4 linked regions of the Saccharomyces cerevisiae S288C genome follow. Changing the gene in region 3 together with the main gene of any one other region gives a genetic interaction. Each region holds a gene or a part of one and is shown on either strand. Other genes may lie near its edges.

Region 1 (4,270 bases), on a different chromosome or scaffold from region 3:
TCAAAATAAAAAAAATTAGTAATCTAACTGGCACAACAGATTGGAAGTATTTAACATTGTTTTCTAACAGGGGAATTAGATCATGAACACCGTTAAGAGTAAACAGAAGAGCGAAAAGACCCAATTGACCACTATAACGTGACAGTGTTAACTGCGGTAAATTCATCGCTTGCGTTAAGACTATGAAATATGTATTTTGCAAAATAGAATTAACGTTCTTTAAACAAAAGAAGGCGATCGTGAATAAAAATGCTACTCTGAAAAAAGCAATATTGGTGGAGTTCAAGGCTTGAGCCATTTTCTTAGAATTTATTCTTTACTTTTGCTGAATGCGATACTCTATTATGTTGTAAATTGTTACACTACCATTCAATTGTCTCTCTTTAAAGATTGATCGACATTATTTTCTTTACTTTTTTGGTGTTTTCGCGCTAAAAGTGGCGTGCTAAATGCCAAGTATTATTCTAAAAAATCATTACGCCATACACAAATATTGAAGACTATCTATCTAACTTAACACCAACTTGCTTTATTAAAGAGTCAATATCCTTCAAAGACTTAGTGAAATACAATTCATCGTCAATATAAGGTTCTTCACCGTCGCTATTGTTCAAGTTTTGTATTGATTTTAAGTAATCCTGCGTACACAGGATACTCACTTTACTGTCCGTCGTGGATAGTTCATTCCACTGCCTAATACTTAAATGGTTTTTCTTGTGTCTTTTATACGTTCTAATTGAATCATAGTTATTCTTTCGCAATACAAAGGCTATTGAACATATAGTCTTACATTGGGAACAAAATATATCGTATTCCTCATCTTCATCGTTTGGATCAGTATGCACCTCCAAAAGAGTTGTCCGTGGTACAATGGCCTGAATTTTCCGTATGCGTTTTAATTCAGTATTATAAAAGACGATCAATGAAGAGTAACATTGCCTAACAAAAGCATCATTGAACAATAGAGTATCTTTATTGTACTTGTCCAAAACATTGATCATTAAATCAAACATATCAAAAACACATGCTTTCTGAGTTAATTTATAATCCGTAATCGCACCAAATCCATATGGTAGCCAGAAATCTATAGTAAAATTGACAGCTTCATTAAAATTATAACCTGTATTAAAACCAGCATGGTAACATTTAGGAAACGTGATAATATATTCGTTGGGCTTTTGCACAGCTTTGTACACAGGAATACCTGATTTCTTGAAATTTGGATCGTACGGAGATATTAAAGTCACTAGCTGATGCAGTAGGTCTGGTTGTTTGATAAATAAGTCTGGTGACATATCATTTAATAGATCGTTGAATTTCGTACATCCCGATTCGGGAATGCTGTACCAGACCTTAGGGTCACCTTCATGTTGATAGTTAGCACTTAGGGTATACTGATCTTCCATATGCCAACAAAATGTGGAAAATAAGGAGCCTATGTAAATCCAAGGAATAGTCATGCCAGAAATATTTCTTTTAAATAACGGTAATAGCGAATTATGAGCCATAGGCAAGTTAGTTAAATTCATAGGATGATCGCAATATTTGAGGTAGTCTATCAATTCGTCCCCATTTATATTTTTGGGTATAAATTCTCTCGTCGGAAAGCCGGTAATTTGACCTGGCAATTCGTTATGTATGTCAGCACCGTATTTAACTGTCGTTAATGAACTGCGACGATTCTTGGTCACTAAGCTCCAAAACATCTCTTCCAACTCATCTATAGACAGTTTTCGTGCTGGTAATAACCTTGAATTTTGACGTTTACAATATTCTTGAAACTCTGGTAGAGAATAGTCATGCGTGTCCTGAGTGAATCCGTAATATCCGTTTCCGACGATACAAGTGTTACAAATCCAATCGCCAGAGGGAACACGTTCCAAAGGTGGTGATAAACAATATATATGGAATGGTTTGTCACATGAATCACATAAAATTGTTCTTTTTGGATCATTTGTCTTGCGACAAACAATACAAGCATCATCATCGTCCTCCTCAAAATCCGACCCAGAATTCGAATCTGGCCCAAGATCGAAATCGTCCTCGTCATCACTTAATAAGGATTTTGGATACTGGTCAGCATGCAGCGCCGTGTGCACGTTCTCGTTCAGTGAATGAAGAAATATGTAGTATGAGGCAATATATTTCTCAAAAATTTCCTTTAACAAGCCGATTGGTACGTTGAATTTTTTAGAAATGGTCCTCCATAGACTGATGTCGCCTCTTAATTGGGAAATATCTCTAAATTTCAATTTTCGCCTGAATGACTGTGTAGTGTCAGTAAGTGTCCGATTGTCTTTTATTAGTTCAGAGAAAACGTCATAAAAGTACACTTTTTTTTTTAGTATTTCCGATGCATGAGTAGAATCTGAATATTCTACAATCGTATAAGGTTCCCTAAGTATAAGTTTCGATGGATCCTTAACGGATCTTTTAAAATTATTTAACTGTTTCATAAAAAATAGCCTACACCTATTTTTCAGGTCTAGGTTCTCCAGATTTTGAATTCTTGGTTGAAAAGTAAAATTTTCCATATCAATAGAAAGTGGCGGGCAGAACCCGTTTGGTGGTACGACCTTGACCATACCATATCGTACACCAAGCCTTTTAATGTGGGGGTTAGAGAGATAATCGATCGGATTTTTGAATTCTTGTTCCGTTGGATACAGGGCAGGAATTTCCTCCATGATAGTGATACGTTTTTTGTGCAAGATGAGATTAGTTAATATGATCTAGAGGTAAAATTGACTAAGTAGTCAGATCTTATTCTACATTGAGCCTGCGTTGTCAACATGCACATCTCTGTCTCTTGGGATGATAATTTTTCAATGATGATTCCAGGGTTACTTTAACGTTACACAAAAGAAATTAATTAGTGCGGCTGTTTCTGTGAGCGGGGCAGTAAGTCCGAAGCCCTTGATATTAGCCCATACCCTACACATTTTACTCGTTTGCCCTACATCAGATAAAATACTGGCCCTAAGCCCTCCTAATCTCTTCTGGTTACACCTAGGGTAAAATATCTGCCTTTCTTTGCATTCAATGCGTTACTTCTATATCACGAGATGAGCATACGGATCGTGTATAATACTAAAAAGAAAGCTCCTGAAAGAGTTGTGACAAGCAAGACTGTATACTACTCCTTCTACGAAAGTTAGTTCGAGTTCTTGATGGCACTTGGCTATTCTATTTCTTGAACCTTTGAGAAAGAACAGAAGTAAAAGGCTGTGTATTCTGCTACATGAAATACAGTAGTAGTCACAGTACAAAAATACTCTAAACCAGTAATAAAGCCACATATATATGTATTTCCTTTCACGTGATGCGCTGGGATGTTATCATCTTATACGCAATTAGCCGCCCATATGCCACCCGGCGCACCGGGTCGCACACACACCCCCGTGATTCGCGATATATAGCGGCCAATCAACGGCGACCTCCAAGCGCGTGCCGGGTGGGCCCCTCGCCGGCCAAGCAGCGCAAGGATATTCCCATCTTCGAGCTCTTAGATACAACGCTTATAAAGAACGCACTTTTTGCATTAACCTCTTTTTTGTATTACAGAACAAACATTTTAACTTGCCCTTTTTTAAACTTTCTTTATCTCTCCAGGACAGGCCAATTGGATAAATTTTGCAAAGATCAAACAGTAACACAAATTTTAGCAACCTAAACCCCCCTCATAAACGAAGACAAAAGTGCTCCTCCTCAAGTCAAATTTGTCTTTCTTTTCTTTCATTTTTTAGTCTGTTGTTATCCAATTTATACTGAATCTTTGAGAGAAAACAAAAATAAAAAAAAGAATGGTTTTGCCAAGACTATATACTGCTACATCCCGTGCTGCTTTTAAAGCAGCCAAACAATCCGCTCCGCTTCTATCCACTTCGTGGAAAAGATGTATGGCCTCAGCTGCTCAATCTACTCCAATCACCGGTAAAGTTACCGCTGTCATTGGTGCCATTGTTGACGTTCATTTTGAACAATCAGAGTTGCCCGCTATTTTGAACGCTTTAGAAATTAAAACACCTCAAGGTAAGTTGGTTTTGGAAGTTGCTCAACATTTGGGTGAAAACACTGTCAGAACCATTGCTATGGATGGTACCGAAGGTTTGGTCCGTGGTGAAAAGGTTCTTGACACTGGTGGCCCTATCTCCGTCCCAGTTGGGAGAGAAACTTTAGGGAGAATCATCAACGTTATCGGTGAACCTATTGATGAAAGAGGTCCAATTAAGTCCAAACTAAGAAAGCCAATTCACGCAGACCCTCCTAG
Region 2 (8,522 bases), on a different chromosome or scaffold from region 3:
AATTGGTCATTTTCGTTTCTTGTCTTAACATCGATGCGCTGTGTGCGACGAAGATGTTGTCACTATTATTCAAAAAACAATTGGTACAATCTCAAATAGTACCGATATTTGGGTACTCTGAATTACGACGCCACTATTCTCAATTGGATGACAATATAAATAGTCTGCTATTAGTAGGGTTTGGAGGCGTTATTGATCTGGAGGCTTTCTTAGAAATCGATCCCCAAGAGTATGTTATCGATACAGATGAAAAGTCGGGGGAACAAAGTTTCAGGAGAGACATCTACGTGTTGGATGCTCATAGACCGTGGAATCTCGACAATATATTTGGATCACAAATCATCCAATGTTTTGACGACGGTACGGTGGATGACACATTAGGCGAACAAAAAGAAGCATACTATAAATTGCTTGAACTGGACGAGGAGAGTGGTGACGATGAGCTCTCAGGTGACGAGAACGATAATAATGGGGGTGACGATGAGGCAACTGATGCCGATGAAGTCACAGACGAGGACGAAGAAGACGAAGATGAGACAATATCTAATAAAAGAGGTAATTCTTCAATAGGACCGAATGATCTCTCAAAAAGAAAGCAACGAAAGAAGCAAATCCATGAATATGAAGGTGTTTTGGAGGAATACTATTCTCAAGGCACAACAGTGGTTAACTCGATATCTGCACAAATCTATTCATTATTGTCTGCTATCGGAGAAACAAATCTTTCAAACCTGTGGTTGAATATACTTGGTACGACCTCGTTAGATATAGCATATGCTCAAGTTTACAATCGATTATACCCCTTATTGCAAGATGAAGTGAAGCGTCTCACACCAAGCAGTAGAAACTCAGTAAAGACCCCTGATACATTGACGTTAAACATCCAACCGGATTACTACCTTTTCTTACTGAGGCATTCTTCATTGTACGACAGTTTTTATTATTCTAACTATGTCAATGCCAAACTATCCCTATGGAATGAAAATGGGAAAAAGAGATTGCATAAGATGTTTGCTAGAATGGGTATACCATTAAGTACTGCACAAGAAACATGGTTATACATGGATCATTCTATTAAGAGAGAACTTGGGATAATATTTGACAAAAATTTGGATCGTTATGGGTTGCAAGATATAATTAGAGATGGGTTTGTTAGAACTCTTGGATATCGTGGGTCCATAAGTGCCAGTGAATTTGTCGAAGCACTAACAGCTCTTTTGGAAGTAGGTAATTCAACTGATAAGGATAGTGTGAAAATAAATAATGACAATAATGACGATACAGATGGAGAGGAAGAAGAAGATAACAGCGCTCAAAAATTGACGAATTTGAGAAAAAGATGGGTTTCGAATTTTTGGCTCAGTTGGGATGCTCTAGATGACAGAAAGGTGGAACTATTAAACCGTGGCATTCAACTAGCACAAGACTTACAGAGAGCAATTTTTAATACCGGGGTTGCTATATTGGAGAAGAAATTAATCAAGCATTTAAGAATTTATAGATTATGCGTCTTACAAGACGGACCCGATTTAGACTTGTACAGAAACCCATTGACGTTATTAAGATTAGGAAATTGGCTCATAGAATGCTGTGCGGAATCTGAAGACAAGCAATTGTTGCCCATGGTGCTTGCCAGCATAGATGAAAATACGGACACTTACTTGGTTGCTGGGTTAACACCTAGGTATCCTCGCGGACTAGACACGATACACACAAAAAAACCTATTTTGAATAATTTCAGCATGGCGTTTCAACAAATAACTGCAGAAACGGATGCTAAAGTGAGAATAGATAATTTTGAAAGTTCCATAATTGAAATACGTCGTGAAGATCTTTCACCATTCCTGGAGAAGCTGACCTTGAGTGGATTGTTATAATCAAATTTATATTATTTAGTCGTACATATATACCAGCATATGAATATAAAATCTAAGCTTTTTCAAGCTTTTAAGTCCAACTTTTCTATAATAATACCATATTTTGTGCGCGGCTCTTGACAAAACAAAAAAAAAAACCTAAATAAAAGGAAATTAAGAACAGGGAACTAGGTTTGGAAGGACAAATTCAGGAAGGAAAGAAATAGCTGTGACAAAGTAAGATGAACCAAAATGGTGATAAGAACGAAGGCAAGTTGTTTCAACTACCGTCATTGCCGCCCTGGAAAACACCAAGGTTCAACAAAGCCAACTTTAACAATTTTACCACACCGCTACGGAAAAGGTCGACAAGGGTAATAAATGATGATTCGATGCCCATAACAGGCGAAGTACTAGAGGAGAGGACTGCAGATGATCTCTATGGGATAAATATGGACGTAGACGAAGTCGACTATCTGAATACTTTGAGCCACATCGAGGAAGAAAAGCAATACGATTATTCACCGTTTTGTGAGCGCAATACGCTAAGGGAAAGTAGAATTGACAGTTTTTTGAAAGCCGAAAGGGCAGCACATTGTCTTGTGTTTCATAAGGTGGGCCATCTAGACGGCATAGACAGCTATCGACCCGATATTGACATCATGTGCGGCGAAGAGGCTAATAAATATGACAGTGCGAATCCGGAGGGCAATGGTTCAATGTTGTTAGAGAGTGTACCTGGATGCAACAAAGAAGACCTGGAGAGGTTATCAAGGCGAGAATTTGTAACAAATTCGAAACCTAATATGAGACGGTTGGATGACATAATAAATCATGAAACGAACGCCTTAAAAAGTTTCTGGAACGACTCAGGATTAGTCAATTCACTCCAAAGTCATCATTTGCATGAAGAGTACCTTCTTTTGCAAGAAGAATTAAAGAATGTGTACAAGATTAAATGCCATGACAGAGTGCCAATAGAAAGTCTACGCGATAAGTGCAGAAGACACTATAGCAACGAGGATAGTTCGTTTCTCTGACAGAGGCAATGCCTTTTTTGCTTCACGTGTATATATATCAGTTGATATGCGTTTTCTATACAGACATACATGTATATACACACATATATATATATACATATGTACGCAGAGATATATTAAATGGGGGTTCTAGTTTCAACAATTTGATCTTTCAGTTTCTCGTCCCATTCCAGTTTCTTCTTCTGTATATAAGCGAAGACATCAGACATTCCAGTAGGGTCTATTTCCTGCGTCTTGATATATGGCATACCATCCCTAGAGGTAGCAGAACCGTATTTTACGTCTTGTTTCTCAAAGTTTGGATTGGCCAATCTAGTTACGTATACTGGGGCATTGGCAGCTTTATAACCATCAATATTGTGCCATGGAGACCCCAACAGCCTGGCCAAATAGAACAAGCATAGCATGCCGAAATAGGTGAAAAAATTCAAATATTCGGAGAAGGAATGGCTTGTAAATATGCCCGGTTGAACTACATACTGATTTATGCCCAGCTTTTTCAAGTCTTTGTAGGTGGCCAAATGCAGTAAATCAACTAAACGCTTGGAGCCCTCATAAGAGGCATTTGTCTTTAGTAGTTCAATATCGTTCAACGAAAGATACTTAGGATCGGACATAATACTCGAAATCCAAACAATATAAGCCTTTCCCCTGGTCAATTGAGGCAGAATTTTACTGATAAAGTAGTACGGACCAAACACATTGGCCTGGAAAATAAGCCCCATGTCATCTTTAGACTTGACGCCCACCAGTTGTATCTTGTATGTCGGATTTGTCACTGCCTCCAATGGATTGGTGAAAACCTCCTTGACCGCTCCGATCCAATCTATACCGTCAAAGATACCTTGCGCAGCATTCACGAAAAGGTAGTTTATCGCCCTGTACTTTTTGTTGATGTCGTAATATGCGTTCAAGACACTCACCATGTTGGTGAAGTCCACCAACAGATAATCAAAGTCTATTTCCAAATCCTCTACACGGCCTGATTTGTTGTAAAAATCTTTAATCTGGTTAATCACCTCCTGCACTCGAGGAAGCGTTCTAGAAGTCACCACAATGGTCAATCTGACATTGGTGTCCTCAGTTTCAATCAGACGGAACACAATGTTCAGACCAAGATTACTATTAGTACCCGTTACGATAGCTACTTTCCTGTTCATCCTATCCTCCTACTTTTTCTCTTTGCTACTTTTTTTCGACACAGATCATGTGCTTGTTTCTCGTCCTATCTTTTAAATACCTGCTCAATTCAAGATGCCGTTCTTTCGTTAAACGACCATAAATAAAGGCCCACGTACTATCGGAGATAAAACAACGGGTGTGCGAAAAGTGCCATTTATCTGTTATAACTGCTATATGCGGATACATAAACAACAAACACTTATACAAAGTGTTCAATGAACCTACTCCATAGAGTCTTGGCCATTCTCCTACCTATATACTTGCCCAGCAGGGGCAGCAGGACCCAGTTGAGCAGCTTGTTCAACTGTTGCAGCGACTCTTCCCATTGACGCTGTGCATCTGCGAGCTCGTTGCTGAGTGACGTGTCCTCGTCGCTGAGGTAACCATCTTCTTCCAGGCCCTCCACGCTGTTGATTGTGTCGATGCCCTGCAGGATCACAGAGGTATCCTCGCTATCTGCCATGTTCTAGTTATTGTTGCTCGTGCAGTGATGTGCTGTGGTGCTGGGGAGTGGTTTGCTCTGCCGATCTTGCTTGTAACGGCCGGCCGTTAAATGGGCCTTCGGGGTCCAAACGAGGCGCGGTTTCGTGAATCTTGCTTGGCTGTTTTTGGCTTGTTAATCCCAATTTGCGATAGTTTACGTTTCCACGGGGCACTGCTCAACGGGTTTAGTTCCGTGGAGCAGATGTGTTGCAGATACTAGTTGATATTTATGTTGATGTTGATCATTCTTGTGGCACAAAAGTATAAATAAAGCAGCGTGCTCTTTTTTGTACGTGGAGTAGTAGAAGTATATTCGCAGGTCTTTCTCTCATTGTTCAGGACATATACATACGTAAGCGTAGTTTTCTTCAGTAGAATGTGGACAAACACTTTCAAATGGTGCAGCAAAACTGAGAAGGAGACCACTACTGCAGACGCCAAGGTGTGTGCTAGCGTGCAGGGCCTGAAGGCCCTGCAGCAGCAAATTATGGATAGCACCACTGTGCGTGGGTCCGTTAATAACACGATGACTCCAGGCGGGATTAACCAGTGGCATTTCCACAATAAGCGTGCGAACAAAGTGTGCACGCCTACAGTACTAATCCATGGATACGCTGCCTCGTCGATGGCGTTCTACAGGACGTTTGAGAACCTGTCAGACAACATTAAAGATCTATATGCCATCGACTTGCCAGCCAATGGTGCCTCAGAGGCGCCAGCATTGCAAGTGAACAAAACCAAGAAGATCAAGTCTCTCAGGTTTAAGCATATAGAAGATGACGTAGTAATCCCTGTGATAGAGAAGCGCCCCCCAGCAGAGGACATCAAGTCACACCTGGAGCAGTACGAAAGCTACTTCGTAGACAGGATAGAGCAATGGCGGAAGGATAACAAGCTTCGCAAAATAAACGTGGTGGGCCATTCATTCGGAGGATATATTTCATTCAAATACGCCCTCAAGTACCCTGATTCCATTGAGAAACTGTGTCTCATATCTCCTCTTGGTGTGGAAAACAGTATACATGCTATCACCCACAAATGGGAGCCCAACACCACCTATCCACTTACGTTTACCGACCCATCGTCCCGATATTATACAAGAAAGCTGAACGTACCGCGGTTTATCTTTGAAAACCAGCTAAACGTTTTGAAGTGGATGGGACCCATAGGCTCCAAATTGTGCTCGAACTACATCTCCACCGCATACGTAAAAGTTCCGGATCAGATATATAAGGACTATCTTTTGCACTCATTTGTCGGGAAGAACCAGACGGTGCAACCACAGACAATCAAGGTGTTCACCCATTTGTTTGAAAGGAATCTGATCGCTAGAGATCCGATAATAAACAACGTTCGTTTTTTGAACCCAGCAACGCCTGTCATGTTCATGTATGGCGAGCACGATTGGATGGATAAATATGCGGGCTACTTGACTACTGAATCAATGCTAAAAAACAAGGCAAAGGCTAGCTACGTTGAAGTCCCTGATGCTGGCCATAATCTTTTCCTGGACAACCCGCAGCACTTTGCCTCTTCTTTAGTCTCGTTCCTGTCAAAGTAATGCCTATATAGAGTAGAGAAGAAAAATACAATATGGAAAACCACGCATATATATATATATATATATAAATACATACATATACATAATACATCACTTTACTTAACCGTATACAAGATAGAGCAACATATACATCAAGAGTGTAAACCTCTCATATGTGAGCGGATGTTCCGATCCATCCCGAACGAAACAAAGCAAAATCAACAAGTTGACATCGCCGTAAGTTTTCAAAAATAGCCCTTTTAAAACTCGAAGCTCTACACAATCGCAGCAATGATGTTGGAGCCTTCACCTCCACCTTTAACAACAACGGTAACACCCTCCCTTCCGTCCAGTTTAAAGAAATCTGTGACAGATAATGACCAGAATAATAACAACGTGCCCAGGAAGAGAAAACTAGCATGCCAGAATTGCCGTAGAAGAAGAAGGAAATGTAACATGGAAAAGCCTTGTTCAAACTGTATCAAGTTTCGTACCGAATGTGTATTCACTCAACAAGACTTAAGGAACAAAAGATATTCTACGACTTACGTAGAAGCTTTACAGAGCCAGATTCGGTCTTTGAAAGAACAGTTGCAAATATTAAGTTCCTCGTCTTCCACAATTGCTAGCAATGCTCTCTCCTCGTTAAAAAACAACAGTGATCATGGTGATGCTCCTAATGAAAAAATCTTAAAGTATGGCGAAACAGCACAATCAGCACTACCATCATCTGAAAGCAACGATGAGAATGAGTCTGATGCGTTCACCAAGAAAATGCCTTCCGAGAGCCCTCCACCAGTTGGCACAAATAGTATATATCCATCAAATTCCTTGTCTATAATAAAAAAGAAGACGGATGGAAGCACAAGATATCAGCAACAGCAGGTCAGCCTAAAAAATTTATCAAGAAGTCCCCTTATCTTAAGATCGTTGTCACTCTTTTTCAAATGGCTATACCCGGGACATTACCTTTTCATTCATAGAGAAACTTTCTTAAGTGCTTTCTTCGGTGATACTAACACTAAAAGTTACTATTGTTCCGAAGAATTGGTATTTGCAATCGCTGCATTGGGATCTTTGATTTCATACAAATCAGAAACTGAGCTTTTTCAACAATCTGAAGTGTTTTATCAAAGAGCCAAGACGATAGTACTCAAAAAAATTTTTCAACTGGAAGATTCTTCGTTAGCTGAATCGTCGTCCTCTTCGAAATTAGCAATCATCCAGACTCTATTGTGTTTGGCATTTTATGACATTGGAAGCGGAGAAAACCCCATGGCTTGGTATCTTTCTGGGCTGGCATTTAGGATTGCCCACGAAATCGGCCTACATTTGAATCCAGAAGCATGGAGTAATGTTTATGAAGACGAGCTGTCAATAATGGATTTTGAAGTGAGAAGTAGAATTTATTGGGGCTGCTACATTGCTGATCATTTAATAGCGATCCTCTTTGGAAGATCAACTTCCTTGCGTTTGTCCAATTCCACTGTTCCAGAAACAGACGAGCTACCTGAAATTGAGACTGGTATAGAGGAGTACATATATGACCCAAAAGTAATATTGTCCACTGCAAACCCCTTGAAGAAACTGATTGTGTTATCGAGAATAACGGAGATTTTTGCATCCAAGATTTTCAGCCCAAACGAAACTCTACTTCAAAGGAGTGAATACTTGGCCAAATTTAATCTGGAGGTATACAATTGGAGAAGGGATTTGCCCCCTGAACTACAATGGACCAAGAGGTCATTGATGGAAATGACAGATTTTAACCCAACCATAGCTTACGTATGGTTTCATTACTATATCGTGCTAATTTCCTATAATAAACCTTTCATATACGAAATCAAACAAAGCCGGGAATTGGTTGAAGGTTATGTTGATGAACTGTATTATCTTTTAAAAGTTTGGAAAAATAAATTTAAGACGTTTGAGAAGGCCACAATTTACATGATTTATTCTGCGATTTTAGCCATCCAATGCATGAAGTCCAACTTGATTAAAAAGGATAGAAAACAAGACTTCTTAAATTTTTTAAGTGCGCCTACCCTGAATTACGAACTTGCTAGAAAATTCATAGAAAACTCTGAAGATGCTTTGCATAATTCAGAAACTATGGATTTATTAGGGACTCTATCTCACGGTAACGATTTTGCCTTAGAGTACAATTTTGACTTTACTTTATTGAATGAGATTGATATGCTGATTGGTGGAAACACCAATGATGGTTTGTCGAAGTAATCTTGAGTGAAGAGGATATGTTTACTTGAACAAATATTCTTTATGTAATGTGTTTGTAGCCTTTTTATTTGGGAAGGAATATACCGCTATCCTTTCCCACCTCCGAACTTATCGATTCGGAATTTTAAAGAGCCTTCCAAATGACAAAAAAAAGGATTGTAGTTCCTAGATAGCGAAATCGAC
Region 3 (7,922 bases):
CACCGAGACTTACGATTTTGGCGGGCCAACCTTAAAAAAAAGCTAAAAAAGTTAAATTTTGACATGAAGTCTCGTTAGAAATTCTTGAGGACGATGTAGATTTCCACGATTGATCCTCTCTTCAGGGCCGATTGTCTTCGCTCAGAAAATTCCGGAGTAGAAAAAACAACGTTGCCTGTTCTGATTGACCAAGGCTTCTGTACGAAAAGGGGTCTTCCTTTTTCGTACAGAAGATATTACTAATTTCGGTCCGAAATTCTAGTGCTCTTCGGACTGTATTCACGAAAAAAAGCCTCTTTTTTCTGAGAATGAACAGAAAAAAGGATGCGGCAAGATCCGGTAAGAAAGAGGTAGTTCCCCGCGTGCACTAACTACCCCGGTATATTTTGCTTATGTAAGCATATTTAGATAATAAATAGATATAGAAGAAAAAAGGGGCCCGCCTTTTTATCTTAGAAGATCACAGAGTTCTTAGCAGTTGATTTTCACAGTATGGGGTCAAATTTCACATCAAAAATACCTTAAAGGGGAAATAATTCGAAACATCTTTCCTTCCTTTGTAATGCAGATGACATGAAGTAATCGGAAGAAACTTTAATTGTCATGCCACTCTCTCACTGTCCTTCTAACGCTACAGTAGCGTTGATCTCTATGTTACAGGCTCTAATTAATTTTTTATTAATGTTTTATTTTTATTGTTGCGATGGCAATGAGTACACGTCCTAATAAGAAATAAGGTTAGAGCCTGAAATTCGTAAGGACATTAGAAAAAAAAAATAATAAAGGAAAAAAAAGAAATGTCCCCGATGTCCGAAATGGATCGTTATGCCGTATTACCGGTCCAGATTTACCTACTTCCCCTAAACGTATTACAATAAGTGCCGGGTCCTTCTTACTAGAGGTTAAAGAGGGTATCGCTGTCGGCGATTGATGGTACATATCTCTTATAACAGAATGGTTTGAAAAATCCGAAGGATGAAAATAACATACCATGTCAATTTTTATTGCGTAATTGCGAGATAGAATGTTGCCGATTGAAATCGACCACTCTCATACATTGGCAACTCAATATAGTACGCCAAGAATTGAGGAAGTTTCCTGAAATGACATACTTGATTTACACGGTTAAGAAAGAGTTTCCACTTTTCTAACCGCGTAAATCAAATGAGGGTACAGACCACAGTGACTTTCTATTTCCGGTATTTACAGCACTGACATATGTGAGGCTTATCGCAAAAACTGTTTACAGCTGCAGAGCAGCAAAGAAGTTGACACAAGGATACGAGCGAATTAGGGTGGGCGCTTATACTTAGTTTGAAACACAGAGGGAGGATACTGACCTAAAATGGAAAAACGTACACCCGTTGATCAGGATTATCTGTAATGAAAAACACAGGACTAAGTCGAATAGCTTTTTTCAGATGAGTCTCGCCGTTAAAATTGCCAGTGTAACGTAAACAAGAGACTGTTTCAGATTGAGAAAATTTTCTTTTCTTTTCTTTTCTTTTCCGAAGGCCTCCCACCATTGAACGTGATTATGACTTCCAATAATCAGAGGATGACTTAAAAACCCCTTGATAAGATCTATTATTTTCGCGATATGCCAAAGACAACCGCCCTTCTTTTTTTTTTTTTTTTTTTTTTTTTTTTTGTTGGGAAAACTTCGTGTAAAAGGGTTAGGCTGAGATTTATCTAGAGACGCTAGCCTTCGAAATTCTCCATTTACTTTGAAGCATTGCCATCGCACTAGATGACCTTGTTTATTCTGAGGTGCCAAGAGTTAAAATTTCTTCGAGGTCTCCTTTTCAACGTTAGGTCTACGTAATGGACGAAGAAAGTGTCAAGAAGCTAATAACCCTCCGCAGTTCGTTGCCACATTCAATAAAGGAAATTCCGTTCCTATTGAAACAAAAAGCTCTTGGTACGCGCGCAGAGAGTCTGGATCGAACCTGACGGAGATATATGTCAGATCGACGTGACATGTAACATTAGAAATCTGCGTAGCGTTATTGATAGATCTCATTCTAGGCCTTCCACGAACCTTCCGGGCGGAGAATAATATCCGCAGAACATGATGCTAAAAGCCAGCTAGCGAGAAAAGAGGCAACAATAGAAAAAATGCGCGCGCCCTTCTAAACTACGTCAGCGCTATACGTAACTAGGGAGCCCAGAGAAACGCCTATAAGATTTCGTGGTAGCCACCGATCTGTCATTCGAGATCTCTGACGCTCTTCTGAAACATTCTCCTTTTTATCTACAGAAAACTCAAAGGGTCCTCCACTTGTATAGTTTCACAGTTTAACTTCAGCACCGTGTTATATCCTTTGCATAACGCAACGCAATTGTGACAGCCTCTCGTTCAGACCCTACTTTAACAAGCTCGCTAAAAAGGAAGCGCAAGAGTTTGTAATTTGCCTCTTGCGTCTGCTTTATTCTATTCGCAGTTTGATCGCACTAAAATATAGCTCCGAGAGTATGTATGGAGGTCTGTTAAAGAGATTGTTCTGGCCTGAGTTTTAATTCATCAAGGTTAGATACGGAGGACTGAACTCTCCACGAATAACCAGCCTTTCTTTATATCTATTTTGGAGAAAAGTCGTACTGTCATCAGTTCGAGGATGGTTGCTGCGCTTTATGATTCATCTACCTGTTCCAGACTGCTCACCAAATCCTCGTTTTTCAGTTTGTCACTACGGTAGTGTTCGTACAGCCGTAAAGGAGACCAGTATGGAAGGAGATTTGCTTGCGCCAAAGCTTCTTTTGCGTAACGTCTAACTACAGCTAGATTCTCAAAAATTCGTGTTCAACTCAGAAGAGGAAAGCAATTTAAAAATGAAATTTGCGGGGATCCCATTATCTCTATTGTTTAGCACATTAGGATCTCATCCGCCAATACTAGAATTTGACACGACTTTCAAAAGGAAAGATCTAAATTATGGTATCATGTTAATAATCAGTACGCATATTCGCATTTAGATTTAAATGGTTTGCGTCCAGTTTTTCTTATGTACGATCTATTTTACGTTATAATAACGGTTCTACCATTACATTTACATAGTAGACAGGCTGCCACTCCTCTGCGTCAAAAATAATATGCCTAGTGATTATACTTCCCATTACCCAGTAATACTTATCAAAAAAAAAAAAAAAAAAATTGCAGGAATGTATAGGCATAGTAAGCGGTACCTTGAGATAATGTCCACCGCTTCAGCTCAATTCGTCGGAAACTAACGTCTCAAAATATGGCGGCGAGAACACCAAAGGCGGGGTGTCCAAAACGCTTTTGCACTCTGCGGCCAATGTCCATGAACTAATTCTTTACACATAACCACAGTAATAAACTTGCAAAGAAAAAAGCAATGTCACTCCTTTCATGTGCGTTCTTTTGACGTTACAAAAGTTGAGCTGTTCAATGACGTATTTATAAGTATTAAGAAGTTCTCTCTCTTCAGTGGATGATGGACCGGATGTCGATACATGATTTGTCGATATTAGTACAATTACTACAGAGCCCATTGGGGTTATCTTTATTATTGCACTCTGCATGTGGCATCGACATATCCTTCTGTTCTGTGGCCACACCGTCGTCACTTTTACGGTGATCTGTTTCCAGTTCTTTACAAACGCAAGTAGTGTTGTCGTTACAAAAGCCGCATTTGACAGAGCTAGGCAGTTCTGTCGAGTGCTGGTGGCGCTTGATAGCGGTATTGTACTTAATAGGTATCGCCTTCATTGGTTTGAAATTCTCGATCAAATTCTGCAGGATAGGGTCCTGAGCAGGCACAGAGGCTTGTTTCAGAGTAAGGGTCTCCAATTTCTGTTTAAGGGCATGATTTTCCGATTCTTTCGCTTGAAGTTCATTTTGGAGGCGGTTTAGTTTCGTTTCGTAGTTTTTAACGACCTTACTCAGTGACTCTATGGTTTCCTCCAGCACTTGCAACTTGTTGTTTTTGCGTTCTCTGTAGGCCCTTTGGGCGTCTCTATTCTGCCGTTTTTTCTTCTGTAGCTCCTCATCATTTTCTTCAGTTTCGTAATCTTCGTGAAGTCGATGAACTCTTTTCCTCCGCTGAGCTGCTCTATGGGGCAACCTTGGAGGCAGTTTCCAATTTTTGGACACGTGGATCTTGGACAAAAGAGCGAGGTGGCTTTCCTCAGACTCCTTAGGTTTTATCAGAGGTAGAGCCATGACTGTGATAATATGCTAGTTACACTGTTTATGTTGTGTGAACTTGTTGTAATATGGTTAACTTCACTTTCAGTGATTGATATGATAGCGACATCACTGCCGTGCAAAAAGACCATTCCATTACTGCACCTTTTTGTCCTTTTCCGTGGAATAAAAGTTCACTCGTCAGTTCCATGCATTCTGGAAAAAAATGATCTGAAAGATGCCACAGTTGTGGGGCCCGCCCGGCCCAATAGGTAAACTAAAATACAATAGAAGGGGTACTGAGTGCACGTGACTTATTTTTTTTTTTTGGTTTTAGGTTTCGCTTTTTTCACCTTTTTCTACTTTCTAACACCACAGTTTTGGGCGGGAAGCGGAAACGCCATAGTTGTAGGTCACTGGCGTGAGTCAAGGCCGGGCAGCCAATGACTAAGAACACGAGGTAACTTGAATTTAACTATTTATAACCAGTGGTAGTTACGAAGACAAATTGTTTTGTTCGTCAATATGAGTGCGAAACAAGGGTGGGAAAAGAAATCAACAAACATTGACATTGCAAGCAGGAAGGGTATGAACGTGAACAATCTTTCGGAACATCTACAGAACCTGATATCAAGCGATTCAGAGCTGGGCTCGCGCTTGCTATCATTGCTGCTGGTTAGCAGTGGCAACGCGGAGGAGCTCATTAGCATGATAAATAATGGCCAGGATGTCTCGCAGTTTAAGAAGCTCCGCGAGCCGAGAAAGGGGAAGGTTGCCGCAACAACAGCAGTTGTTGTAAAAGAAGAGGAAGCTCCCGTGAGCACTTCTAACGAACTGGATAAGATTAAGCAAGAGCGGAGAAGAAAGAACACAGAGGCGTCGCAGCGGTTCCGCATTCGCAAGAAACAAAAGAATTTTGAGAACATGAATAAGCTGCAGAACTTAAACACGCAAATCAACAAACTTCGCGATCGTATAGAGCAATTGAACAAGGAAAATGAGTTTTGGAAAGCAAAGCTCAATGACATTAACGAGATTAAGTCTTTGAAATTGTTGAATGACATTAAGAGACGGAACATGGGCAGGTAGCCCGCGAAACGTGCGGGCCTGATGTCTTGTTTTTCCTCTCCAACTTCGATTTTTCGATTTTTCCGTTTCTTTACCTAGCATATATATACACACATCTATCTACATATAAATATATATATATGTATATTTATTATTTATAGCATTGCGCGTGAGACAAAAGCGAGATCTTTTCGTCCCACTCCGCATTGATCAAGGACCGTTTATATTCCACAGACTCTATCTCGCTGGGAGAGCACCATCCTATAGTACGAAAGTTTGTAATAACTCGAGCGTACTGAGCGTCTTCCAGTTGTTGTTGGCGGCGTAAAGACTGCGCGGCTGCAGATGTGACGATAAATCTCTCGGAATCTGGGCGGCTAGCGGGACATACTGAATGCGTATGTTTGTCTCTGGGCATACTGTTCCTTCGAAAGAAAATACTCGAGGCTTTGGCAAGAAAACTGAGTTTTTCTTGTTCTGCCGGAACGCTAAGGCTTCCAGTTATGTCTTCGCGGCCAGATTTTCCTTGGTGTAAGATTGCAGATATTGCGCTCACAGAACTACGGTGCCGCCGACTTTGAACGCGCGGGCTGGACGATGATGACGATGACATATCTAGAGCCTTGGATAGGTCTCGCGACATGGAACTGTCGTCGTCGTCTTCATCATCGTCGTCGTCGTCGTTCCTTGAGGCGTCTTCGACTAATGACGGAGCATGGATGGCGCCTGCGCCATCTCGCGATAGTGTCATGTACTTGTGAAAAGCCGCCGAATCGTCATCCACATCATCATGTGGACCGAGCAACGAGGGCAGCAGACCATCTATAGAACTTCCTCGCGAACACGGTCCTGGCTCTACACCTGGTCCTTGTTCATCATGAGTCAAAGTTTCCGTAGCAGTCACATCAACTGGTAGTCCGACGCCTAGCAAACACCTCGTGCCACTCATTACCGACCACAACACCTCCTTGCGGTGTTTATCCGCTATGCTGGCAAGACGGAATCCTACATTACCTTCTTCAAACGGGCGTCTCGTTTTTTTCCCTGTGTTTTATGTCGTAGTTTTCCCTCAAAATACAGGCACGTACCCCATGTATAGGGGCAAGGGGGTGGGGGGTCGGCTCTTAAAGAAAATCTGGAAACTCCGCATTTTTGTCCTGCTCAAAACATTGGTCCAAAACCCTACCAATAACCCTAAGAATTTAGTAGATTACCCTCCCGCTCCGAGTAGGTCCTGTAATTAGGATCGGCGCCAATATTAAAACGTTTAACGGTACCGCACCCACACATTACCGAAAGCGCTCCGTCGGATGTGATTTCCAGTTTTTTTGGGGTCCATAACAACCGATGGCATTTTTTACAAATTGTTCTCTTTATCGTAGGAAGCAGTGATGTCTTGGTTTTCTTACTAATTAGGTCCATTGATTTGATATAATTGCGTGCCAAAGGCGTATGTGCGTCTGTTCTTGCTTTCTGTCTTGCTCTTGTTTGGTAAGCGGATATTTGGTAGAGGTAGTTTAATCTATGGAAATGGTCCTGGTTCGCAATCGTCCTTGGTGGCGGTACTAGCAGAGTACCATTTTCGTCGATCTCAGGTTTCATCTTTCCTCCGTGTGCTTTCTTGCCCATCTTTTTGCTTGTCTTTTCTCTGTCGGCGATGTGGGAAGGACAGTAGAAGAACCACGTATTGTTTTATTTTCTGTTCATCTTTTTTTTCCGTTCTTTTCATTTTGGTAATTTTTTTTCTTTTCCTTTCTTGAATTTATTCGGCGATATTCAGTAGAGGAGTGATCTCTGTAGCGTCATCCCCGTCTGCCTGTTGAGGAATCGACTTGTCATGATTCTTGAGTACTATGAGTTCCGGTCCGGTTGCATCCATGTGCCAGGTATTAAGTTTGAGAATGTTGAGTGCGCCCTCTTCTTCTGCATTCAACTCCTTGACAATAAGTTTCACGTTCTGAAGACTCGAGCTCAGTGAGCCGTTTATTATTACAATCTGGCAGAAAAGTAATAAAATATCGAGTAGTACCAGAAGTAGCTTGCTAGGAAACGCTGTGGGTACCGGACAAGTAAATTCCCTTATCAAAAGCATTATCACAAATCCGTACGGTTTGGAACATATGTCTCTCGATACGTCTAGCCTAATGTGGTATACTATACAGTACGCTGTTTCTAGAAGTATTAGGCCTTGGTAATATCGTATGGCTTTGTTTATTATCATTCTTACAATAGGTGTTTCTAACCCTCTGATGGCAAGACTTTCATCATCTTCCTGATCATTGTCGCGGCCCACCTCTAAATAGTTCTTCTTCAGGTACCTGAGTGTCAATTCCTGAATGAAATCACAGAGCGATGAAATTATCCACCCCAGGAGGATCAAGAATAATGATCCATCTTTGATAAACCTCAAGTACAGGCAGCAATAAACGAATTTCTGCAAATTCGCTATCACTGACCTTTGTCGTCCATTGTCATCTTCCAAATGCAACATTTCCTTCCGATGCCCTGCTCCTTTCCCTTTCTGTATTAGCTTGTCATCTAAGCCTTCGTCATTGAAGTATCCCTTCCCTTTCTTTCCCTGGAGAAAAGCCATATGAGAAGTTTATATTACCCGGTTTAAAGTTTGTTTTTTTTTTTTTTTCTACCACTAGAATGCTCTCTATAGTACCCATGATGCATTAGTTGAACACTAGCAGGTCAGGTT
Region 4 (7,594 bases), on a different chromosome or scaffold from region 3:
ATCAAATGTTTCAATTACGCAGGACCCTTTTACGATTGTTTTTCATCTCTAGAGGCATTTTCAACATCGTATTTTCCGAAGCGTTGCATAATGAAAATGTGATAATAAGGCAGTGAGCTACTTTGTCACAACAAAGTACGAGAACAGATGAGGTTCCGTGGTGTTTTTGGGGCAACCGCACTATTTGGAGCGCTGTATATATTTATATCCTACTACAAAAAATCATAAATGACACTGAATTGGACACATGCTAGCGTCAAATACCTTGCCTGGTAAAGTTGTGTGCTAGTGTCTCCCGTCTTCTGTCTAAAAAAACTCATCGACACCAGGATACTCTTGTCGCCAATATTCCTTTTGAAATTGTTGTTCGATTTCGGCTGCCTTGGTGAGGAGCTTTATAAAGTTCGGTCCGGCACTAAAACTAGAAGACTCAGCGGCTTCGTTTGGTGTGCCAGCGGTTTCGTCATTTGATTGTGCGTCTTTAACATTGCTGGCTGACGATTCCTTTTGCTTCTTGAAAGTTCTTCCCTTAATAAGACTTAGAAAATAACGGTGGCAATCTTCATCACGGTAAAAGTAGTAGGGAGTATCCCATAGCCCATGATCAAATAAATACTGGTTCATCTTGTATGTAATTGTCCTCCATTCTTTCCCCTTTACCGCCGGTTTACGTGTGATAATTTCCATCAGAAGCTTAACTTTAAATTCCCGATCACCGATCGGTTCACTAAATGCAATTACAACCATGCATGTTCCTGGAAAGCAAAAGGAAAACAATAGTATCTCAAAGGCAACGCAAAATTCCGTATTATAAAAAAACACTAATAATAAAATTGAAGTCACAATAAGTACGAGCAAAATTACTGCCGCTTTATGACGAGTAACTTCATATATCCAATAACTTAAGTACGAACCGAATATGTCCTTGGGAAGAGCCACATTTTTCTCAATTAAATATGCACTGGGTTCGTCGAGAAAATCCGACTTGGCGTCGGTACTTTCTGAAGATGTTTGCATGCCCAGTTTATATCTTGTCTTCTCTATAGCTCTGCTATGGTGTTGAAGGATGTTATGCGGATCAAAATAGCGATCTGTCTTATACCAATTGAAACTTTTCATCACCTGCTTTTTACTTCGGAGGCATTTTTCATTCAATACTAAGTTCCGGAATGATACAAAATAAAAATGGTATTGAGGCGACATAAGTTGTTAGCACAGCAAAGATGGTTGCGGGTTAAGTTTTCTGATCGTTCTGGGAGAGTATTTACGTTAAAAAATAGGAATCAATTAAGCATAATCATGCCGTTTTGTGTGCTACATATCTGTTTCCCACTATATAAAGTCACGTTAGAATGCAATTTATCTAATTTACTACCCCATTTTAGCGTCAGTGGATTGGTAAATCCCTTTGCTAGCAAGGTACTGTCAGAATATTTCTCCTTCCTTTCAAATAATTGCACCAATATCTTGCCAATACTTCACTTGAGATTGTTCTACAATATCCGCTGTCTTGGAAAGCAATTTTGAAAATCTTCTCCGGGATTTAATGTGAAAGATTCGCCAGCTTCAGTCTCCTGTACATTTTCCTCAGCGTTGCTTGTTGGCTTCTCGAAAGTTCTTCCCTCAATAAAACTTAGAAAAAGACGGTGGCAATCTTCTTCGCAATAAAAGTAGTAAGGAGTACTCCATATTTTATGGTCAAATAGATATTTATTCATCTTGTACGTGATAATGTTTCATTCCCCTTTCACCGAACGCTGGCGTGTGCTTACCTCTAACGAAAGCCTAATATTAGATGCTTTATTGTCGGTCTGTCCCGGAGATGAAAAAAGAGGATAGAAGGGACATGAGATGGTATACTCGGAAATTAGTCAGTGAAATCAAAATTACAGATGCCAGGAACATAATCATTATCGGCTTACAATGAGCCCCCTCGTAACACGTAAAGTGAATAACTTAAGTACGAATTGAACATGTCTTTGGGAAGGACCACATTTCCCTCAACTAAATTGGCACCATCTCCACTCAACACATCCAGTCTAATATTTTTATTTTGTGGTTGCGATTGCATACACGATTTGAGTACTAAATTTTTGACGAATGTAATACGGACCAAACAACAGCTTTTTTATTCACTAGTTATTCTTATAACTACAACACCAAACCCTTTTTGAGATCCTTTTTTTCTTTTTCTATTGTTTGGATTTTCTTGGCTGCATTATGCGAAGCGCAACAATAGAATGTGACAAAAACTGACAGAACCCTTATTAAACAAATATGAAAACCTCTAAAAAAACTTACAAATACGATAGTTGTAGGCCATGATGTTTGTACAGCTCGAATATATGATGCTCAATTCTGGCTTCGAGATGTTCTTGAATTCGATTCTTGTTCTCGTTTTAAAGAAAAGTAAGTATACTTGGTGAATAAAATGCTTCCGCTTCAAGGTAAATCAGCGTCAGGATATTGCTTTCTCCAGTATTCACTTTGAGCCTCCTTTTCTATTTGTGTTGCCTTCAAAACATATGCCATCAAAATAGGGTCTGATCTAATACTATAAAAGTTGTTTAGACCATTTGAAGTCTTCCCTGCTGAGACAGGTGATTGTGTATCCTCGGCACTATTCGATGAGGAATCCGAGTGCGAACCAGAATTCACTTCCTTGATAAGAGTGGTGAAGAACTCATGGCACTTCTTGCCGCTATAGAAATAGTACGGGGTATACCATAGTCTCTTCATGAATAGATATTGGTTCATATTATATGCGACAGTACCCCATTCCTTCCCCGCAGGCTTGCGTGCGATCACCTCCACTAAAAGCTTTATCATGAACTCCTGTTCAGTGATCGCTTTCCCGAATGTGAATGCTGCAACCACCATTAAAGCCATGGAGGCTACTATAAGGGACATCACTAAGATCACAGTGCACCCGTCGTTATCATGAAAAAGCACAATCAATGAGATCAAACTCACGATTATGATGATCATAAACATGATCGGTTTACAATGAGCAATTTCATAAAGTACATAACTCAGATGTGAACTGAATGTGTCTTCGGGAAGAGCTACATTCTCTTCGATTAAATGTGCACTGGGTTCGTCGAGAGTATCCATCTTTACGTCGGTATTTTCTGAAGGTGTTTGCATGGTCAATTGATATCTTGCCTTAATATGGCACTTATAGATGTTATCCTGATCAAAATAGCCAGCTGTTTTATGCTTTTTTAACGTTGTTCACCATTGTATTTATTATTTTTGAGGCATTTTTCACGTATTGTTGCAACGTCCCGAAGGGATTCGATGTGATCGAAAAGCGTCCCGGCTGATCTATTGTGATGACCAGCTATCTCACGTTGGCGAGCATCAAGCCGAGGATCATAAAGCAAAATATATAATAGCATTTGCATCTAAAGTAAACTACATAAAATTTGTTTCGAGCGTACATAACTTTTACACCCAGATGGACTGACACTTAATTGCGGGCTTCGTAATGTTCTTGAAGTTAATGATGCTCGTACATTTTATATTAGAATATACTAGATAAATACCAAAAATTCGGCCCTAAGGCAAATCAACCTCTGGGTATTGCTTTCTCCAATACTCAAATTCAGCTTCTTTGTGAATTTCCGCAGCTTTAATAAGGTAAGCTTCTAAAACTGGATCAGAACTAAAGATATAAGGTTTTACCATCTCATTTGAAACCTCTTTTGCTGGTGTGTTTGACTGCGTATTCTCTGCACCGTTCGTTGGTGAACTCAAATGTGCATTCGACCTTGTCTGTTTGATAAGGCTTTTGAAAAATTTATGGCACCTATGTTCACAAAAAAAGTAATACGGAGTATGCCATATCCCATGGTCAAACAGATACTGGTTCATATTATATGCGATTATTCTCCATTCCTTCCCCCCTACTGCTGGTTTACGTGTAATGACTTCTACTAAAAGCTTAATTATGAAACCCTTATTCAAGGTCTCAGACACGAAGGCAGTTATACCGATCAATAAAATGATAATAGAGAGGATAAGAGAAATCACTAAAAACACAAGGATACCTTTGATATCATGAAAAAACGTAATCAATAAAACCAAACACACAGGTATTAGGAACATAATCATTAGCGGTTTACAACGAGCGATTTCATTAAGTATATAACTCCAGTACGAATTGAATGTATCCTCTGGAAGAGCCACATTTTCCTCGATTAAATGTGCACTGGGTTCGTCGAGAGTATCCAACTTGACGTCGGTATTTTCTGAAGGGGTTTGCATGTTGAATTGATATCTTGTCTTGTGTAAGGTTATTATATGGTTTTGGAGGTTGTTATGCTGATTCGAATTACGACTTGATCATGATACTAATTGAGCTTTGACGAAATATTTTAGCAATTCAGAACCCCTTTCATATTCTTTTTTTTTTTCATTTTTAGAGGCGTTTTTTCACTGATAGGTACAGCCTCCGAAATAATATATAGTGAAGATATAATAATAATAGTGCGAGCCTTTTACAGGGCCATTATGATCATGAGTGAGATCCAGAAAAGCACATTGCATGGCAGTCGGATGTTGAGAATTGGGGGAATTTTGAGATAATTGTTGGGATTCCATTGTTGATAAAGGCTATAATATTAGGTATACAGAATATACTTGAAGGTTCTCCTCGAGGGTCTAGGAATCCCCATAATGGAGTCTATATTTCTATATACCAATCTTACGATTATTCCTCATTCCGTTTTATATGTTTCATTATCCTATTGCATTATCAATCCTTACACTTCAGCTTCCTCTAACTTCGATGACAGCTTTTCATACCTTATGCCATCATCTCTACACCGTATATGATAATATATTGATAATATAACTATTAGTTGATAGACGATAGTGGATTTTTATTCCAACAGAATTGCATTCCAACACATTGCCCCTAGCAATAATAGAAGTCCTACAATTATCAGATTTTTTAGCCAATTCTCAGCAACAAATCTAAATAGCAATTGCTCTTTTTAATTAATGGTTTACAGTTGTGATGCAACGCAATCCTTTTTCTTATAATTGGTTTACATATTTTATCACTGAAAATAATGTTGTATTACGGGCTCGAGTAATACCGGAGTGTCTTGACAATCCTAATATAAACAGTCTTAGGGAAGTAACCAGTTGTCAAAACAGTTTATCAGATTAATTCACGGAATGTTACTTATCTTATATATTATATAAAATATGAATCATACTAAGTGGTGGAAGCGCGGAATCTCGGATCTAAACTAATTGTTCAGGCATTTATACTTTGGGTAGTTCAGCTAGGGAAGGTCGGGTTTTGTCTCATGTTGTTCGTTTTGTTATAAGGTTGTTTCATATGTGTTTTATGAACGTTCAGGGTGACGTATTGTCATACTGACATATCTCATTTTGAGATACAACAAATAACATACAATTTTGGCAACTTGGCCGAGTGGTTAAGGCGAAAGATTAGAAATCTTTTGGGCTTTGCCCGCGCAGGTTCGAGTCCTGCAGTTGTCGTTATTTTTTTTTACTGATGATATTTCACCTCTTCAAAGCATACTCATCTTCAACTCGGATTCAACACGAGAAAGAATTATTTAAATCGGTACAAAGCAATACACTATTCAAAATCCTATCGTTTCCCAATTGTGTTGTGCGCGCGTTATTCTGCGATTCCGTGTAAGTGCATAGAGTAGGTTGTTGCAATAAAAAATGTCTCTAAATAGCAGGCCGACAGACATAACCAAATGATTTCCGTGAACAACCTCAAATTTTCAGGCTTTGAACGTGATTTTCCCAAACCCTGTAACTTGATGTGTAAATTTAAAATGGAATTGGCATGCCAGCTATCATCCCTTAGTGCTTTCAGTCCGAGAGTCTCCATATGTCTGACTTCACGACCTAATTGAACCGGCGCCCATTTCTGGGACATCAGCACTTGCGGTGCTGTTCCAAATAATATCTAAGGTAAGTTTAATGGCCCAGCCCGATCGTGAACGTTAAAGAAAGCATACGTCAAAATATTGGTACCTTATAAGAGTAAAAAAATGCTGTTTCATCTCGTTTGGTAGAGTATATATAAAAAGAGCGGTTTCTGAATTGTTGAAATTTGAACTGTTCAAGATTTACTTAGTAGTATGAACCTGCAGGGATCATCCAGAAACAAAATGCTGTAGCTTCTTCTCTGAATTGTATTTCTTTACAAAGAGCTTTGCTATTTTGCCTTGAAACAGCATATCTCATGGCGAGCGCTTCCATAGCGCTTGAAGCAGACCAAAGCAACATGCTGGAAGACCAGATTCCTAGACTATTCATGTACATCTCTACATAGTATGATCGACTTCGGGATTTTTTATTCCTTACTACGTGGTTTTTACGATGGCATGATCAAATTCTGTGAAGCTGTTTTGTCTGTCAGTGGGATCGTGCATTGTACTCAGTTAGAAGTGCGTTTGGAGCTTTGTAACATGGCACAAGTGAAGTGAAAGACGCCCTTTATAGAAAGGAGAGTTAGCTAATGTAGAAGTACAGCTGGTGATAAGAAAACGCTGATGCAGAATCAGGAAAGTGTTCTCGTTGTATTTTCCAAGTCTACTTGATTTTACAGTTAACGTAATATTCTTTATTATGTAGTGGTAAGAAATACTCAAACCGTAGGAAGCGGACTTGAGTTTGTTTTTATCTTCAGAGTATATGCATCCACGAAACACACCCTCATTGGTATAATGTTGGTACTTTCATTCCTACGTAGATTATGAAGTATAGGAGGAAAAAGAAAAAATAATGGTTGCTAAGAGATTCGAACTCTTGCATCTTACGATACCTGAGTATTCCCACAGTTCACTGCGGTCAAGATATTTCTTGAATCAGGCGCCTTAGACCGCTCGGCCAAACAACCACTTATTTGTGATATTTGGGTCACAATGTTTTAACTATTTGGACACTGACTTGTTATTAGCTGATCGCTAATTCAAACACATGGTTATATAAAGCATTCTTTCTGAAGAGACACCCAAAAAATAAGTACAGCATGGAAGTAATTATCATGCGTGTACGTGTTCTACTACATATTTTGCTATTCGGCATTGTAATGGGAAGTGATTCATAGGTGGCTGCCCCATTTTCAACGAGGGTAAAGTTTATAACTTTTTGTCTGGTCGTCCTCTTAGCTATACAACATCGTTATTGTTTAGGTATTATCCAACAATTAGGACACAGGCGTGAATAGTTTTATTAACAAATATAAAGTTAGCAATCGGCCAGTAAAAGTTTTAACGCAGGGACATCTCAGTAAATAAGTCATGCCTATGGTCCTCATCTAAATTTCGAAAAGAGACTGTGTTACGTATTATTCGCGAAGAACAATGATGATATATATCTGGCGATTTTACGGCCATTATCAGCGGTAAAACACCCAAGGTGTTGACTAAGTGATGGAGTCTGCGGTGGACAAGTGTTACTTTTGCTATACTACTAATCCAGCATTCCGTGATCATAGTTTAAATGCGCTGGCGTATTGGGAGCTCTTTGATACAACGAGAAGTCAGACATCAGCTCGCCGAAGCGTCCTAACAGTAACTAACTAACAATAAGC

What was found.
Region 1: mutations in YIR016W (region 3) and JHD2 together harm fitness more than expected from each alone (negative genetic interaction), as found in Saccharomyces cerevisiae (2 studies listed by BioGRID).
Region 2: mutations in YIR016W (region 3) and ICT1 together harm fitness more than expected from each alone (negative genetic interaction), as found in Saccharomyces cerevisiae (2 studies listed by BioGRID).
Region 4: mutations in YIR016W (region 3) and KTD1 together harm fitness more than expected from each alone (negative genetic interaction), as found in Saccharomyces cerevisiae (2 studies listed by BioGRID).

What each region holds. Positions count from the first base shown.
Region 1 is NC_001142.9:643,804-648,073, forward strand, and holds JHD2 (histone demethylase), read right to left. Parts: upstream 2,688-4,270; coding exon 501-2,687; downstream 1-500. Other genes in the region: ILM1 (Ilm1p), read right to left, coding at 1-298; DMO1 (Dmo1p), read left to right, coding at 3,323-3,673; ATP2 (F1F0 ATP synthase subunit beta), read left to right, coding at 3,804-4,270. UniProt on the Saccharomyces cerevisiae protein: Histone demethylase that demethylates 'Lys-4' of histone H3, thereby playing a central role in histone code. Demethylates trimethylated H3 'Lys-4'.
Region 2 is NC_001144.5:337,344-345,865, reverse strand, and holds ICT1 (lysophosphatidic acid acyltransferase ICT1), read left to right. Parts: upstream 1-4,937; coding exon 4,938-6,122; downstream 6,123-8,522. Other genes in the region: DNA replication initiation factor CDC45, read left to right, coding at 1-1,877; APC9 (anaphase promoting complex subunit 9), read left to right, coding at 2,099-2,896; ERG27 (3-keto-steroid reductase), read right to left, coding at 3,013-4,056; MIM2 (Mim2p), read right to left, coding at 4,278-4,541; CHA4 (Cha4p), read left to right, coding at 6,393-8,339. UniProt on the Saccharomyces cerevisiae protein: Lysophosphatidic acid acyltransferase involved in membrane remodeling leading to increased organic solvent tolerance. Involved in resistance to azoles and copper.
Region 3 is NC_001141.2:380,873-388,794, reverse strand, and holds YIR016W (uncharacterized protein), read right to left. Parts: upstream 6,168-7,922; coding exon 5,370-6,167; downstream 1-5,369. Other genes in the region: YIR018C-A (uncharacterized protein), read left to right, coding at 3,094-3,231; YAP5 (Yap5p), read right to left, coding at 3,449-4,186; MET28 (Met28p), read left to right, coding at 4,676-5,239; ribonuclease P protein subunit RPR2, read right to left, coding at 6,413-6,847; VLD1 (Vld1p), read right to left, coding at 6,981-7,709.
Region 4 is NC_001133.9:180,445-188,038, reverse strand, and holds KTD1 (DUP240 family protein), read right to left. Parts: upstream 3,148-7,594; coding exon 2,443-3,147; downstream 1-2,442. Other genes in the region: pheromone-regulated DUP240 family protein PRM9, read right to left, coding at 307-1,203; DFP2 (DUP240 family protein), read right to left, coding at 1,494-1,718; DUP240 family protein UIP3, read right to left, coding at 3,562-4,269.